Linked DNA regions of Lonchura striata. The protein of the gene in region 1 purifies or fractionates together with the protein of each later gene. This does not show direct contact. Links are inferred from orthologs where the notes say so. Each region holds a gene or a part of one and is shown on either strand. Other genes may lie near its edges.

The links. Proteins that work in one complex are often made in the same cells at the same time.
Region 2: the proteins of KCMF1 (region 1) and ABHD10 purify together in Homo sapiens (affinity purification with mass spectrometry; 3 studies listed by BioGRID and IntAct, counting the BioPlex papers as one, with this or other methods). This does not show direct contact. The link is inferred for Lonchura striata from reciprocal best matches to the Homo sapiens genes KCMF1 and ABHD10.

What each region holds. Positions count from the first base shown.
Region 1 is NC_134642.1:4,691,403-4,698,378, forward strand, and holds the start of KCMF1 (E3 ubiquitin-protein ligase KCMF1), read right to left. Parts: upstream 3,003-6,976; 5' UTR 2,886-3,002; coding exon 2,870-2,885; intron 2,373-2,869; exon of another isoform or gene 2,044-2,372; intron 1-2,043. UniProt on the Homo sapiens protein: E3 ubiquitin-protein ligase which accepts ubiquitin from an E2 ubiquitin-conjugating enzyme and then transfers it to targeted substrates, promoting their degradation by the proteasome.
Region 2 is NC_134604.1:3,863,790-3,870,845, reverse strand, and holds the start of ABHD10 (palmitoyl-protein thioesterase ABHD10, mitochondrial), read right to left. Parts: upstream 3,012-7,056; 5' UTR 2,995-3,011; coding exon 2,919-2,994; intron 2,833-2,918; exon of another isoform or gene 2,539-2,832; coding exon of another isoform or gene 2,478-2,538; intron 1-2,477. Other genes in the region: PHLDB2 (pleckstrin homology-like domain family B member 2), read right to left, coding at 6,999-7,056. UniProt on the Homo sapiens protein: Acts as an acyl-protein thioesterase that hydrolyzes fatty acids from acylated residues in proteins.

The DNA.
Region 1 (6,976 bases):
AACACCAAGACCAGGGAATGACCTCATTTTGCATTCTACAAAACCAAAAGCTAGCCTCTTAACACCAAATCACAGCAAAAATGGTTTTGAAAAATTGGAAAAGCCTAGCAATACTGAGAGATAAGTACTTAACTCTTGACAGCATTACCAAGGAAGTCTCTTGAACATTGAATAAACACATCCAAAAAAGCAACACTAATTCAAATTCTAGTTGGTGTCTATTTTCCTGGATTTGGGAGAAACGGGAGTCTGGACCTCATGTGTGAAATCAAAGCACACTGAAAAGGAAGGCCGTGGTGAAACTTTCTGTGAAGGACAACAAAATCTCACTTTTAAAAAAACAACAAAGCCAACTAACCAAAATACCCCAAACAGTTGCTTCGTACAATTTATTACACCAAAGAAGCAGTCAAGAAAGCCCAATGGACAGTAAATCTCCATCAGATGCTTTACAGCCTACTTCCAGGTCCCAAGCCTTTAGAATTCTAGCTTCTCCAGCATTTACACATCCAGATACTTTTCCATCATAAAATTGGTACAGCATCCCAATTCTGTCAAGAAATATCAATAAATCTTGCTTGTAACTTTGTGTACAGACCATTTTAAAGAAAATACACAGGAAAACTATTAACATAAATGTGATTAAAGCTTGCTTTTTCCCTATACCATATTCTTCCAAGACAGCCATCCCCAAACTAGTCATAATGGATCAGAAACTGTCAGCTGTAACCTTGCACAGTTCTGAAGCAAGAATTACCTTTCTTTCTGAGCATACAGTTTCTGTGGTTTTCCAGAGTTCTACCAAAATCAAGTCCCCAGACCTCTTCTCCATAAAGCCATCCCTCCCATACTAATATGTGTTATTCTACCCCTGCAGAATAAACTATAGTTTACTAACTATTAAGCTAACTAAAGTTTCCTAAAAGAACATATCTGAAGTGTGAAGAGAAGAATCATTGAGAAATTAAGGAACAGACTAGCTTTTAAAATAAAATCACAAGGACACAGTGGTAGATGTCATTTGTAATGTCACAGTGTTGTTATGGTTTTAGGAATGCATTGTTTGTTCAGTCACACACCTGAGAAGTCTATGTCCAGGACCCAAAATTCACACTCACCAATTAGGTAATTAATCAGGCAATTATCTTTTTTCTAACTAGGTGTGTCTAAATTAATCTGCTTTGGAAAGAGAATATTAAGCCAAATTTCATTAACAGTCACACCTTTTAAAAATACCAACAAATATCAAAGACAGGAAATGTAATTTTCCCTGCTAAAAAACGTCTAATAACTGAAAGGAAAATTCATGCTACAGTTTCCATAAGAAACACACAAGAAAACCTATTTTTAAATTCTATTTTAATAAAAAGACAGGGCTGGAATGTGTTTTTAACACATTATCACCACTTCTTAAGTCCATGCACTTGTCACTCAAAGTCACTAAAGAACAACAAATGATATCACTTATCACTATGATAAAGCTTGCGTAAATTTAACCTATTCAAGTTAGAAAAGCCTGTATTCCACTACTGTGAATTAAAGAGAACATTTTGGTACATGCATGACAGCACATACTTGCAGACTGCAAAATCCTACTACACCACCACCAATAGCAACTTTGTGATCAATGATTCTTTCATTTCAGTAAAAACTGCATGTTTAACCATAAAAAAATCCATCTCCACCCTCCTGGGAAAACATGAAGGCAGAGGGAGAAATAGGAGCAGTCTTACTAAGCTTTGATTTTAACAAGTAAACAACAAGAGTTAGTAAGATTCAGGGAACACAATTCTTTGATAGAGGTGTACACATACTTGCACAAACAAGAAGTCTGCAAAATACTGCGATGCACACCAAAAACCCATCACATATAGCACACTGCCTAAAATCAAGCTACTAACTAGAAGCCAGCAGTATGAGCCACAAATACCGAATTCTCCTATAATGTTTCTGTCAAACTGTTTTAAGATGAAACGGAGAAATTATAAATTAGAGTAAATAAAGATAATACTGAATGAAGTTCCTAACAATGCATAAAGTTACCTTTTCAGATGATAAACCCTGGTTTTATAAAATACTAGCTCAAACACTTTACCCGCTGGTAAACAAACGCGGAAAAACTGAGCAACTTTCTCTCTTTCTTGGTTGCATACTCCCATCTTCTTCCTGCAAAAATTCCTTTCTTAGCTTCCACCTCTTCCTCTACCCTTCTCCTCCTGACTAACTACCCAGTGAACTCCCGCACGGCGGTACACGCAGGGGGACCAGCGGCAAAGCAGCACGCAGAGAACACGCTTCTCCAGCGGCCTCAAAACATGCCACTACCACACCAGCACCGGCCTCCTCGGCCGCAAGGCACAACCGAGGGGACGCGGGCAGATCCCGCGGCCGGCAGCACACACGCCAGCCCTCGCCAGCCCCAGAGGCAGGCCGCCCGCACACTCCTGCCCGGCCCCGCTCCCCGGCACCCAGGGGGCCGCGCAGCCCGGCGGGACCCGCCGCGGCGGCCGACACGTCGGCAGGGCCGCCCCGCGCCACCGCCCACCCACGGCGGCCGGGCCCGCCGAGGGCGCCGCGCCTCGCTCCGCCCGAAGGACGGGCGGAGGAGCGGGGCGGCTCGGCTGCCCCGCCGCCGGCCGTACCTGCGGCCCCGGCCCCGCCCGGCGGAGGCCGCGCGGCGAGCGGGCCGTACCGGCCTCCCCCGCTATGACACTGCAGAGCGCGGCCCGCCCGCCCGGGCCTCGCCTTCCTTCCGCCGCCGGGCCCCGGGCCCCGCTCCCGGCGGCGCCATGATGATGATCGGCCCCCAAGGCCGCCGCGCCGGGCCCCGCCGCCGCCGGGAGCGGCCTGGGCGCCCCGCGCCGCTCACCTTCATGTCGGGACATCCTAGTCCAGAGACGGCGGCCCAGGCCCGTCCCGGGGCTCCGGCGGGCAGCTCGGGCGCCGCTGCGGCCTCGCCCCCCACCGCCGCCCCGGTGCGAGAGGAGAGGGGCCGGGGCTGGGCCGGGAAGGGGGCGAAAACACAAGAGGCGGCGAGCAGGCGGCCTCCCTCCTCCTCCTCCTCCTCCTGCTGCTGCCTCCTCGCTCGCCCTGCGGGGGGCGGATCCGGTGGCAACGGCTTCCCGGGCGCCGTGACACGGTGACTCCGGGCGCCGCCGGCCGCCGGCGCCGCCTCCCGCGCCGCTCCGCCCCTGCCGCACCAGCGACGGCGGCGGCCGCGCTGGAGCCTTCCCGGCCCCGGCCCCGGCCCCTTCCCCTTCCTCCTCCCGCCCCGGCCGCGCTGCCGGAGGAAGAGGAAGCTCCCCGGCAGGGCGGCGGCCCTCCCGCGCGGGCTGCCGGGCCAGGGCGGGCCCCGCCCGGGGCGAGGAAGCGGCCGAGGTAACGGAACCCGGCACCGGCCTGACCGAAGGACACGCATTAATCAGCTTTTTTAATGTAAAAGGAGCGCAGAAAGAGCGGCCGGGAACAGCTGGGCGCATGCCCTGAGGCGGCGTTCCGTCACTGATCGCGTTACTCATTCTGTCAATTTGGGGTGCTGCGACTCCAGGCACAGGGCTGGAGTCTTCGTGGGTTTTTGTTGTTTTTTTTTTTTGTTTTTTTTTTTTTTTTTTTGGTTTTTTTTTGTTTTTTGTTTTTTGTGTTTTTTTTTTCTTTTCCCCGTGTTGTGTCTGTGTCAGGCCTGCAGAAGGCAGCTAGAAGCGTTCTTCAATTAAACTCCAGCTCTGTAAAGAGGATGCCTAAGGTGTGCCATGTGTTGTCCCACTCACAGAACACAACCACAGAGTAGCTTGACTTGGAAGAGAGTAACAGAGGTCGTGAAATAAGACCAACCTCATAAATGACACCGTATGCCTGAGAGTGTTTTCCAATGCTTCTTGAACTCTCTCAGGCTTGGTGCTGTGGTCACTTTCCTGGAGAGCCTGCTCCAGTGCCCAACCACTCTCTGGGTGAAGAACCTCTCTTTAATGTCCAGCCTAACCTCCTCTGACAAAACTTCATGCTGTGCCTTCAGCTCTTGTCACTGGTCACCAGTGTCTGCCCCTCCTCTTCTTCTCATGAGGAAGTTGTAGACTGCAATGAGGTCTCCCCTCAGTCTCCTCCAGGATGAACAGATCAAAGGACCTCAGCCACTTTCTCATGTGGCTTCCCCTCAAGGCCCTGTACTCCAGACAAGTGTGTTAGTCTGTCCACACCACGAGGACTTTTCGTCCTGTCATTGTTGGTTTCCTGCCACTTCATGGAAGCAGGCCAAACTTGAGATGAGTGAAAGACCTGCAACAGGGCCCTGTTTCTTCCCTGGGCACATATATAATGCATTTTGTTTCTGCCTTTCTTACTGTGACTTCCTGGCCTTTCCCTAAATTCCATCCATGATAATAGCATGGGTGAAACACATCTTTTTTACCTTCTCCCACCCGCTTTCATTTTCTCCAAGTTTTCCATCTACTGTGTTCAGTGGCATTCCTTCATCTATTCCCTTTGCCAATCCAACACCTCTATCTTCTTTACTGTCTTACACCACAGCTCCCATATGTCTGTCTCAGCCCAACAATTCTTAAGCATTTGTGTTGGTGAAATATCTTCTCAGTCTGTTTCAAAGGCCATGAGGGTCCACACCAGTGCAGCTTAAGTATCAAGGTGCTGGGAAACGCAAAAGTGAACCAGAAGGTGTTGAAAGGAGGAAGTGCCGACCTCATTCCTGGCACCACCTCACTCCCATGCTTCACTCCCGTGCCTTTTACAGCCTCTGCTTGATACCTTACATGCATGTGCACTCTGTTCCTGGTACAAAGGTATTCCTGGTTTCTCACCACCTGGTTCACTTCCAGCTTTCCTTTAGCTGCATGCACTTTCATAAACAGTGCCTACTGAGATGATAACCTGGGTCTAAAAGTCTAAAGTTCCAGTGTGTTGTGGGCATTTTCAGTGACAGCAAACAATACCTGTGAATTAGATAAGCTGTAGGGGGAAATGGAGATCATTTTGAGAACCATTTTGATGGGAGCCAAGGACTTCTTATGAGAGCAGGCAGACATGACCATGCAAAAAGGCAAGTGGCAATTAAAAGCAAATGGCAATTGCTTCACCCAGATGGAAAATACAGACCACCAGTTGCTCTCTTTCAGTTCCTAGAAGAGCAAGCTAGTTTGCAAGCTAGTAACTGGGCTGGCTAGAGATACTTAATTTCTGTGAAAGACTGACTCCTCCTGAATATAACTTTCTTCTCTCTGAGCACAACAATGCTGTCTTGGCTGCGCTAGGTTTCATCCTACCAAAAAAGCATGACCTCCCACATGAGCTACTCCCTATGCGTCTGATAAAATACAGAACTGCATGCCAGGTATTTCAGTGGGACCTGGAAGAGTCTGTGCTTAATCTTGGAAGTCCTTGATCTGATAATTTTGTTTCTCCGCACTTCAGTTAAAAACCAGTTCAATAAATTTTCCTCTGTTAAGTGTTACTCAGATGGATGGCCCTTGAGTGCACATGGTGCCTCTTCTGTGGTGTGTTCTCCATTTTTGTAGTCTTGAAGTCCAAAATTAAAACTGTAATCCTGTTATTTCCTGTTTTCTTGCCTTAAGGTCTGTATCTATACCCAAAGACACAGTATAGATGAAAGTCTTGGTTCTTTTGGAATCGTGTTAGAATATGCCTGCACATACAGCATTATATGCAGCGCCTGTTTTATATCCTTCAGAAGGAGTTTTGCTGATTGTCTCTTCTGCAAATATAGCAAATACTGCAAATGTAAGATAACTGGGGTCTCAGTGATTAGGACGTGGCAACTCTATCTGTGTGTGCAAAGAGGTACAAAACAGAATTTGAATGTCCTTTTCAAGGTCATGGCCACCAGTAGAAAATATTATTTTCTTAGCATTATCATGATAAATAACCTATACTGTCCTGGTTTTAAACAATACTGTTTATCAAACCCACATGCTGTTATTCCACAGGCAGAAGGAGAGATACATATTTTAGTTAGGTTTATAAAGTTTTGTTATGGATGAATCTTTCTGCCTCTAAGGAAGGAGCCTGCTATAATTGGCTTTCTTACTCTTTCTCTCCCATTCACCAGAAGAATTCATAGGCGAGAGTTCCTTTAAAGCCATGAGGAGAAAAATTCAACATTAGTATCTTCGTGATGGATAAAATCAAGCTGAGAAATAATTTTTTTTTACCCAAAGTCACTCAAGGTCAGAGCCAGCCAAGGGATTAGAGACCCAGTTCTCACAGCTAATTAGGCCATTGGATAAACCACAGTGATAAACAGAAAAACTGATGAATTTTCCCAACATATAATAATACAATGATAAAATTTGTGTCTGAAAGTCATAAAATCTTCTGAAATAGGGAAGAAATGTTTGTGTGGCCTCATGCAGTTCCTTTTTCTGCCACTGTAAAAAGATTGTCTGGAACAGACCAGAAATTTGACCACTGAACAGTGGTCACTGAACTTTGAATTGAACAGTAACATCCTAGAGCAGAACTCCCGAGTGTTAAAACTGTTACATTAGGAGACACATAATTGCCATTAATGCCCTCAAAATTATTCACACTTTTGTAAACTACTGAAAGCTCCCTCAGTCTGTGTTTTTAACTTGTTTCAGTGCTATTTCTAACAGGCTTCATCTATTTGAGGAATGCTTTACTTTGCTTGAATAGGTCATTACCAAGGCTGGGCAACCCACTACATGCCACAATTGCTCTTTGCAGGTTTGGTGGTTCAGGCTCACACTTGGAACTAAAACAGTACAGTGGTACAAAACTCATATATTGGTTGCTTGCTCATCAGTAGACGCATATGGAACTGTGATGCATACATACTCAATTATCAAATGTGTACAGTGGTACATGCCAGGGCCTTCCACTACACTTTCTTTTCTGCTGTTTTTCTGCCTCCTTTTGCTCAGTAATGGTTCAACACAATACTGTTGCTTACTGGCTATGTCCAGCATATGTAAATAAAGCTTTTAAG
Region 2 (7,056 bases), on another chromosome or scaffold:
ATCAAGAACTGGGAAAGAATCTTGTGACCAACTTTTTCATCATTAGCATGAAAAAACATAAGCATTGTTTAAACCAAATGAAATGAATAACATCAAACACAGAAATTAACATAGGAAATGCTAACTAATTAATAATTCTGCTGAATCTCAACAGCTGCTACAGGACTTAATCTAACTTTAGCAGTCAGTTTTACCTCTACTGCAGGTGAGGACAAGTAATTTGTAGAGAGCTGTTAAGGAGACTTAATCCACTCTATTATCCAGCTCAAGAAGGTAATTTGTTAAACTGAAAGCTTGGTCAAGTCTTCTAACACTTTGACACTCTTAATTCTTAGATTAGAAGATCACTGGCTTCAGCAGGGGGGCAAAGAAACTATGTAACCCAAAATAAAGCCTCAGGGCTTCCTAGGGGTGGATAAATAGTGCAAAGCCCAAGCCTGACAGTATCACACCACTTAACTGTCCTGCAGCCTTGAATTCTGTCTTGTCACTATCAGAGATTACATAGAAAAGGTTTTTGGGGGTTGGTTTGTTAAACTTGGATGTACATGAGTAAGTGTGGATACATAACAGATACAGAGTGCAGCTAACATTCAGAACTTTCCTACAGTCCAACAGAAATGGCATCATTTGAACTATAGATTAAAACCATTAAATTGCTCCTCAAACAATGAGGCAGTTCTTTATCCTACTGAGGTATGAGCTGTTTATAAAGGTGAATGACTTCCACAGTGGAGGTATTAAGACACATCCACACTGTGGCTTGTGATTCATGAGTGTCTTTGACTAAGCCAGTCACTTCTTCAGGGCCAGTAGAGTGCAAGTGTCAGTAGGACGAGAAGAACCAAGCCCTAAATTTAAAAGAAAAGTAACTGGAAATATTTTTCTCCCCCTTAAGCCCTGATAGCCATCTCTGAAGCCACTTGTCTTCCATGCTGCAGCACTCTGGAGGTGTCTTCAAATTACTTTGGCACTGGCAGGATTCCAGCTGCAGCCAGAAGACAGAACTGTCTTAGCTATTTCACAAACTATTATTCCATTTAACAAGTTAATGGAAGCACCAGCAGCAATCCTAACCTGAATAATGCAAACCCCTAAAGCAACCACTGCAGCAAACCCGTAAGCAAAGCTCAATGTAGTCACCCTCTCAGATTTCTCTTTAGACAGACAAAACCATCAGCAGCTACCCAGTAATTTCCCCTCCTGATTTTAGGGAAGACCTTGGTAAGAGCAGGAAGCATTTCTGAAAGGTGCAATGCAGGTATTAATGTTCATAAAAGCAAGTTACAGACAGAAGGCAATACCTACAGGAAGACAACAGGACCCTTGCCTGATCTGTGGAATTCTCTTCATATCAAAGTGCACTTCTATGAACACCAGAAACTGTGATTGAGACCAGTGTTACATTACACATCAAAGCCAAAGAAGTTCCCTGAACAACTCTGGGAATACTCCTGCACTGAGATCTCCCCACTCCCAGCAGCAACAGATTAATGCTGCTGTGACAGGTAATGCACTCAACTGTGTCCACACTTGTGTTGGAACTCAAAATGTCCCTCAGACATTTTTGGAGGTTCCAGGCCCTGGTCAGAGGCATTTGAGACCCTGGCAGGCAGCTGCAAACAGCTGTGATTTTGGGTTTGAGCCATGGAACGATTTACCAACTTTGCAGGTGGAACAAGGAGTCACAAAAGTTTAGGTATTATAGTAGAAGTAGTTACAAAGTAGAGGGAAGAATTTTTTAGTACTGTACAAGGGGGTTTTAACACCTGTACAGCAGGGTTTTTACTTTGTACATGAGGGTCAGAAGTTTTAAGATGGAGGAATGTAGGCCGGTTCTGTTCCTCCTCTTTCTTCTTCCTTACCTCCATGTTCTTGATGATGTTGGCACTTAGGGGTTTAGAGTAGAAAAGCACCATTTAATATAGATAGTAGGTATTGGGGAAAAACTGTAAACATTTATCATGTAATGCACCATATAAAGGATAGCAGCAGCCCTGGGTGGGAGAGAAGAAGACAGCAGACAGAGAGGATGTCAGGGTGTGTGTGTGTGTGCCTCTGCTGGAGTTGCTGACCAAACCGCAGTAACCAGAGAAGAAAATCTTTTAGATAGCTTGCAATAAACTGCCTTGAGACCAAACTACAAGAGGCTGCTGAGTTTTCTTTGGAAGCACGGGTTGGAGGAGAGACTTTACCACGACACGGAACCCCTGAACCAGGCCAGGACTCGGACACACTTGGTTTAATGCAACCACCCACATTCCAGCAGGAACTGCTGCTCGGCCTGGTCCCAGAGCACCTAAAGACACACTCAAATAACCAAGATATTCTGATAATATTACTGTTACAAACACACAGAAAAGAAGAAGAACACAGCAACAAAATCCCCCTGTAATCAAGCTTTCATGCAGCTACAAAGCGTGCACCCATAGTGGCAATTAAATTTTACTCACTGAGCAACCTTAGATGAGACTCACCCGTCCAATTAAGGGCAATTAATAAACTGAACAGCTCAGACAAGCACGGGGTGCGACACATCAAGAAGGGCAGTGTTTGGGCAGAGGCGGACACCAGCAAAGCTTTCCGTGCGCCTGGCGGAGCTTTGCCTGGTTTCACACCAAGGAGCGAACGGGCGCCCGGCTCCTCCACACCCAGCAGGGCCGAGAGCTTCGAGCCAACACGACACACGCAGGAAAGCGGCTGTGCACAGCCACCGAGCCAGGCGGGGAGGAGAAGCCGTCAGGAGCCGCGCGGGATGAGCTCGAGATGCCCATCCCCACAGAGGGCCGCGCCCCGGCCCTTCCTCACGGAGGCGGCGCTGAAGGGGAGCTGCCCGTGTGCGGCACCGACACACATCCCCTCCCCTCCGCCCGGCAAGCCCTGTGCGTGCTCCGAGCTCGCCGCGGCCGTGCCCTTACCCCGGAGCGGTGACAGCGCTGGCCGCAGGGCGGCCCGGCCGGGCCGCAGCAGCGCCATGGCCGCCATGGCCGCCATGGCCGCGCATGCGCCGCCCGCGGGGCAGCGGCGGGCGCGGCCTGTGAGGGCCGGGCCGCCTGAGGGGCGGCGGGCTCTGTGCGATAAAACCAAAACACGAACCGTGCGCGGCTCCTCCGCGCCTGCCGTGCCTCGTAGCTGTCGTGTGTGGTGAACCTAATTCGCGCCATTACATATGAAATGTGTAATGTTGGATACTTGTTTGGATTAGACGCGCACCCCCCCCCCCCCCCCAAACTCGCAGGCGAGACCTGGTGAATATGGGAATATTGGAAACTGATTTAAAAGGATGTGGCTCAGGAGATGGGCCATGTCTGGAGAGATATGGGGACCCCAGGTGCTGATCAGCGCATAAAAGACCCGAGATGGATATTATATTATAGAAATCCTCGGGCAGGTGCAGGTGAATGCAGCGTTCCCCTAAATTTCATCAAGGGATTCACCAGCTCCAGGACACGGAATTGTTCTTCCTCATCACCAAAAAAAAAAAAAAAAAAGAATAACCTATGGATTCTGAAGGGAAGAAAAGGCTGACTGCCGAAATCTTGGCCTCAGGCAGAATTTTCCCTATAAAACCCGCCTGTGCCAGGATGGAGGTGTGTGGGCACAGAGGAAAACCTCTGCTGAGGCTGACTCTTTGTTGCGCACCCAAGATCCATCCCCGGGCTCAGCACTGTTTTTTTTGGGTTTTTTTTTGTTTGCTGGACAAATTTTCATTTATAACATAGCCAAGAAGGGCAAAGGTGTACTTTGGGAAGAGCACTGGCAGCACTGCAGGGAGGTGGTCCAGCCCCTCTGCCCAGCACTGCCCAAAGCGATGCTCAGCTCCCACCTCTGCAGGGCTGTGTCCAGGTCTTGGCTCCTCAGTACAGGAGGGAAAAGAAGCTCCTGGAGTGCTCCAGTGGCAGGCTACGAGGGTGATTTAAGCATCTCTCTTAGCAGGAGAGGCCAAGGGAAAGGCCTGGGCCTGTTCAGCCTATATGGTATTTTATAATAAAATATGCATTAAAAAATGCGTATTTTATGATCGGCTTTTCGCAAATGTTACAATGAATATTATATGTGTAATGTTAAGAGAGTTATTCTGTATTAATTCTCTCAAGTACTGTGTTAAATACAGTTTTTAGGTTACAGCATAATGTTAAAATAGAAATTCTGCGATATAAGATTTGTCACAAGCTCAAGCGAGAAGATGAGATAATCAAGAAACTTCACACAGAGATGTCAGCAAAGGGGGCCCATAAAAAGTTACTGCCTCCTTATCAGGAAAGACAAACATTCTTCCACCTTCTCTCTGTCTTTTTGGAACCACCAAGATTAAAGAGAAGAAGTTGACAAAAACCAGAAAAGTTCTTAATATGCAAGGAATTTATGCATCATGTATGAGATATATGAATATGCAACAGGCTATTGCTTTTAAGGTTATTCTTTTGTTCACAAGGGATGCTTTTTGTGATTTAGTGTCCGAGAGCATCCGGACATCCATAATTCTTTGCTGTTTATTGTCTTGTAATTGCCCTAACTCTAAATTTTATTACTCTAATTGTATTACTATTTTTATAATAATTTTATTATTACTCAACATTTAAAAATTTTATAAACCAAGTGATTAACGTTTTTCACAAGCCTCAAGAAGAGATGGCTGAGAAGGGACCTCATTAAAGATCATTATGATCAGTGCAGACTGATTATAGAAGGGGGTGCCCACCACCATGCTCTACTTATGTTGTCTTGATACACACCACTACAGACCCCACCCCACTTCATTATGATGATGGCAAACTTAATGAAAACAAATCAATCATAAAACCACACTGGTTTTCATTTCCACAGTGAGTTAATACTCCCATTCAGGTCATGTGTAAGTCAAATATTGGGAAAATGTTGAAATCCTTAAACTCAAGCAGTTTCTGGTTTGCAGTTAAACAAAAAAAAAAATCGTCAATATCCAAAGCTGGTAATAAATTTTTCAAACGGGTTCATAAAAAATGAAAAAGGTATTATATTATGTACATGCAGAAAACAAACTACACTCCTAATTTCACTGAAAGAAAGATTATTTTCCATAGCTCTTTTGTGGGAAAATACATGGAATAGTTCAAATGAGTGTTACTGAGAAATACAGTGTTGCTTGCATGACTGCATATAACTATTTAAAAGACAAGCACAAATGTCCCAGGATAAAGCAGCAAGAAAATATTTGAAACAAGTTTATTTTTAAAAATGTTTATTGAAATGCCTTCATTGCATCATGCAGGATACAAAAATCATTATTAGAAAACCTTTATAACTATACTTGGGAATAAAATCAAGATACATCAGGAAAAAATAATAACTGTATAAACAAAAGCAATTTATTTGATAGTGTTTTAAATTATAGATTACAGGCTGTGATCTGCACAGATGATAACAATTACCTTGCAACAACAGTCTCTTCTATGATTCAAGTAGAAACTGATGGTTGTCATGCTAGACCAACCACATCACTTGTACATACCACAGACCTGTTCATTACAGTTACAGGGCTTAAAAAGTATAACAAAAATATTCTGCCAGCATACTTCTATTCTGTTTTCAGTTTATTTGTTCAATTAAAAGCCATTAGCTTTCCATCAAAGAAAAAAAAAAGGCTAATGTGCTTTCTTCTAGTACACAAACCACAGAGCATGTTTCAATTATAATCAAATAGAACCTCTTTAAAGTCATAATATGACACTTTCTTGAAGTTCATTTCAATTAAATAATTTATATTTTTGCAATATTATTCAAGAACTTGGAGGTGATTTTAAAACGGGAGACTGCTGCACCCTCAGTATTTTTGCTGTTTTAGGAATCTCAATCCCTACTACTTCAAACTTCCAGGTTTTTTATTCATACACTGCTTAGTGTAAACTCTTAGAACTCACCTTTCTATTTATTCTATTTGACAGCATTATTCTGTGCAGATATACATTAAAGAATTCTCTGGGAAAGCTTGTCTCCAAAGAGTCCAGACACGCAGAGATTTTGGTGCTGGCTTCAAGGCAGGCAATATTTGAGAGATTTCAATAGTGTTCACTTGGCACATAGTAAGATTAGAACCACACTGGAACCTTACGATATAAAAGAAAATTCCTGTAGAGTCCAGAATCATCTTATTCTGTTCAACAGGGAGGATTAAAAAAATCCCTCTTTATGAGGCAGTTAATACATGTGTTTCCATTTCTCAACCTTGTGGAAAAATTGCATCTTTATAAAGCTATCCATCTTGGGTTTCCTTTTTTTTTTTTTCTTGCTGTGCTCCATAGATACAAACCTTAAACACGCAGTTGTTTGCCACAAAGTTTTTGAGCATACAGAATATAACAATTTAATTACATTAAAAGTCATTAAGAGTTTTGGCACTGTCCCCTTACAGAAAGTTAGGTATAAGTAACAATATGAAAACGTAAGGGAAATCATGTAACTCTTTGGCTCTGTTGTAACACTTAACTACTAAGGCAAGAACTGTGTACCTTAGGACTTCTTTTTTGTTTGTATTTCTATAAAATACTTGACTAAAGTTTTTAAAAAGTCACCTAATCATCTATAAATGCCAAATTTTGCATATTAAAATATATGCTTATTACACCTTTTTGTTTCACTACTAGAATTTTTTGCATACCAATGAGAACACACACACTTGTAAATTGTTCAGTATAAATTTACTAAGACATTCTCTGTATAAGAGAATCTGTAGAAACTTATCATTCAATCAAGATGCTGTAATTAAAATTGCCTGATTATCCATTTTGGAGCACTATGATTCTCTCAACAGCTTTAGCTTGTTCATTCCTATAAAAATCAATTACAACAGGTAACAACCCTCCCTTTTCAATGCATTTGCAACCCCCGCTCGACCTGAGGTTTTGGGTGCACATCATAAGGAGGACATTTCAGGGTATTCACTGGCTTTTCAGCTGTCACTAGCTATGGCTAACTTCATTAGTTATGTTATTGCAGGATGCCCTATTGCTCCCCTTTTATTATAACATGAAGTGGGTGTAGCCTTCTGCTCCTGTAACAATGACATCCATCCATATC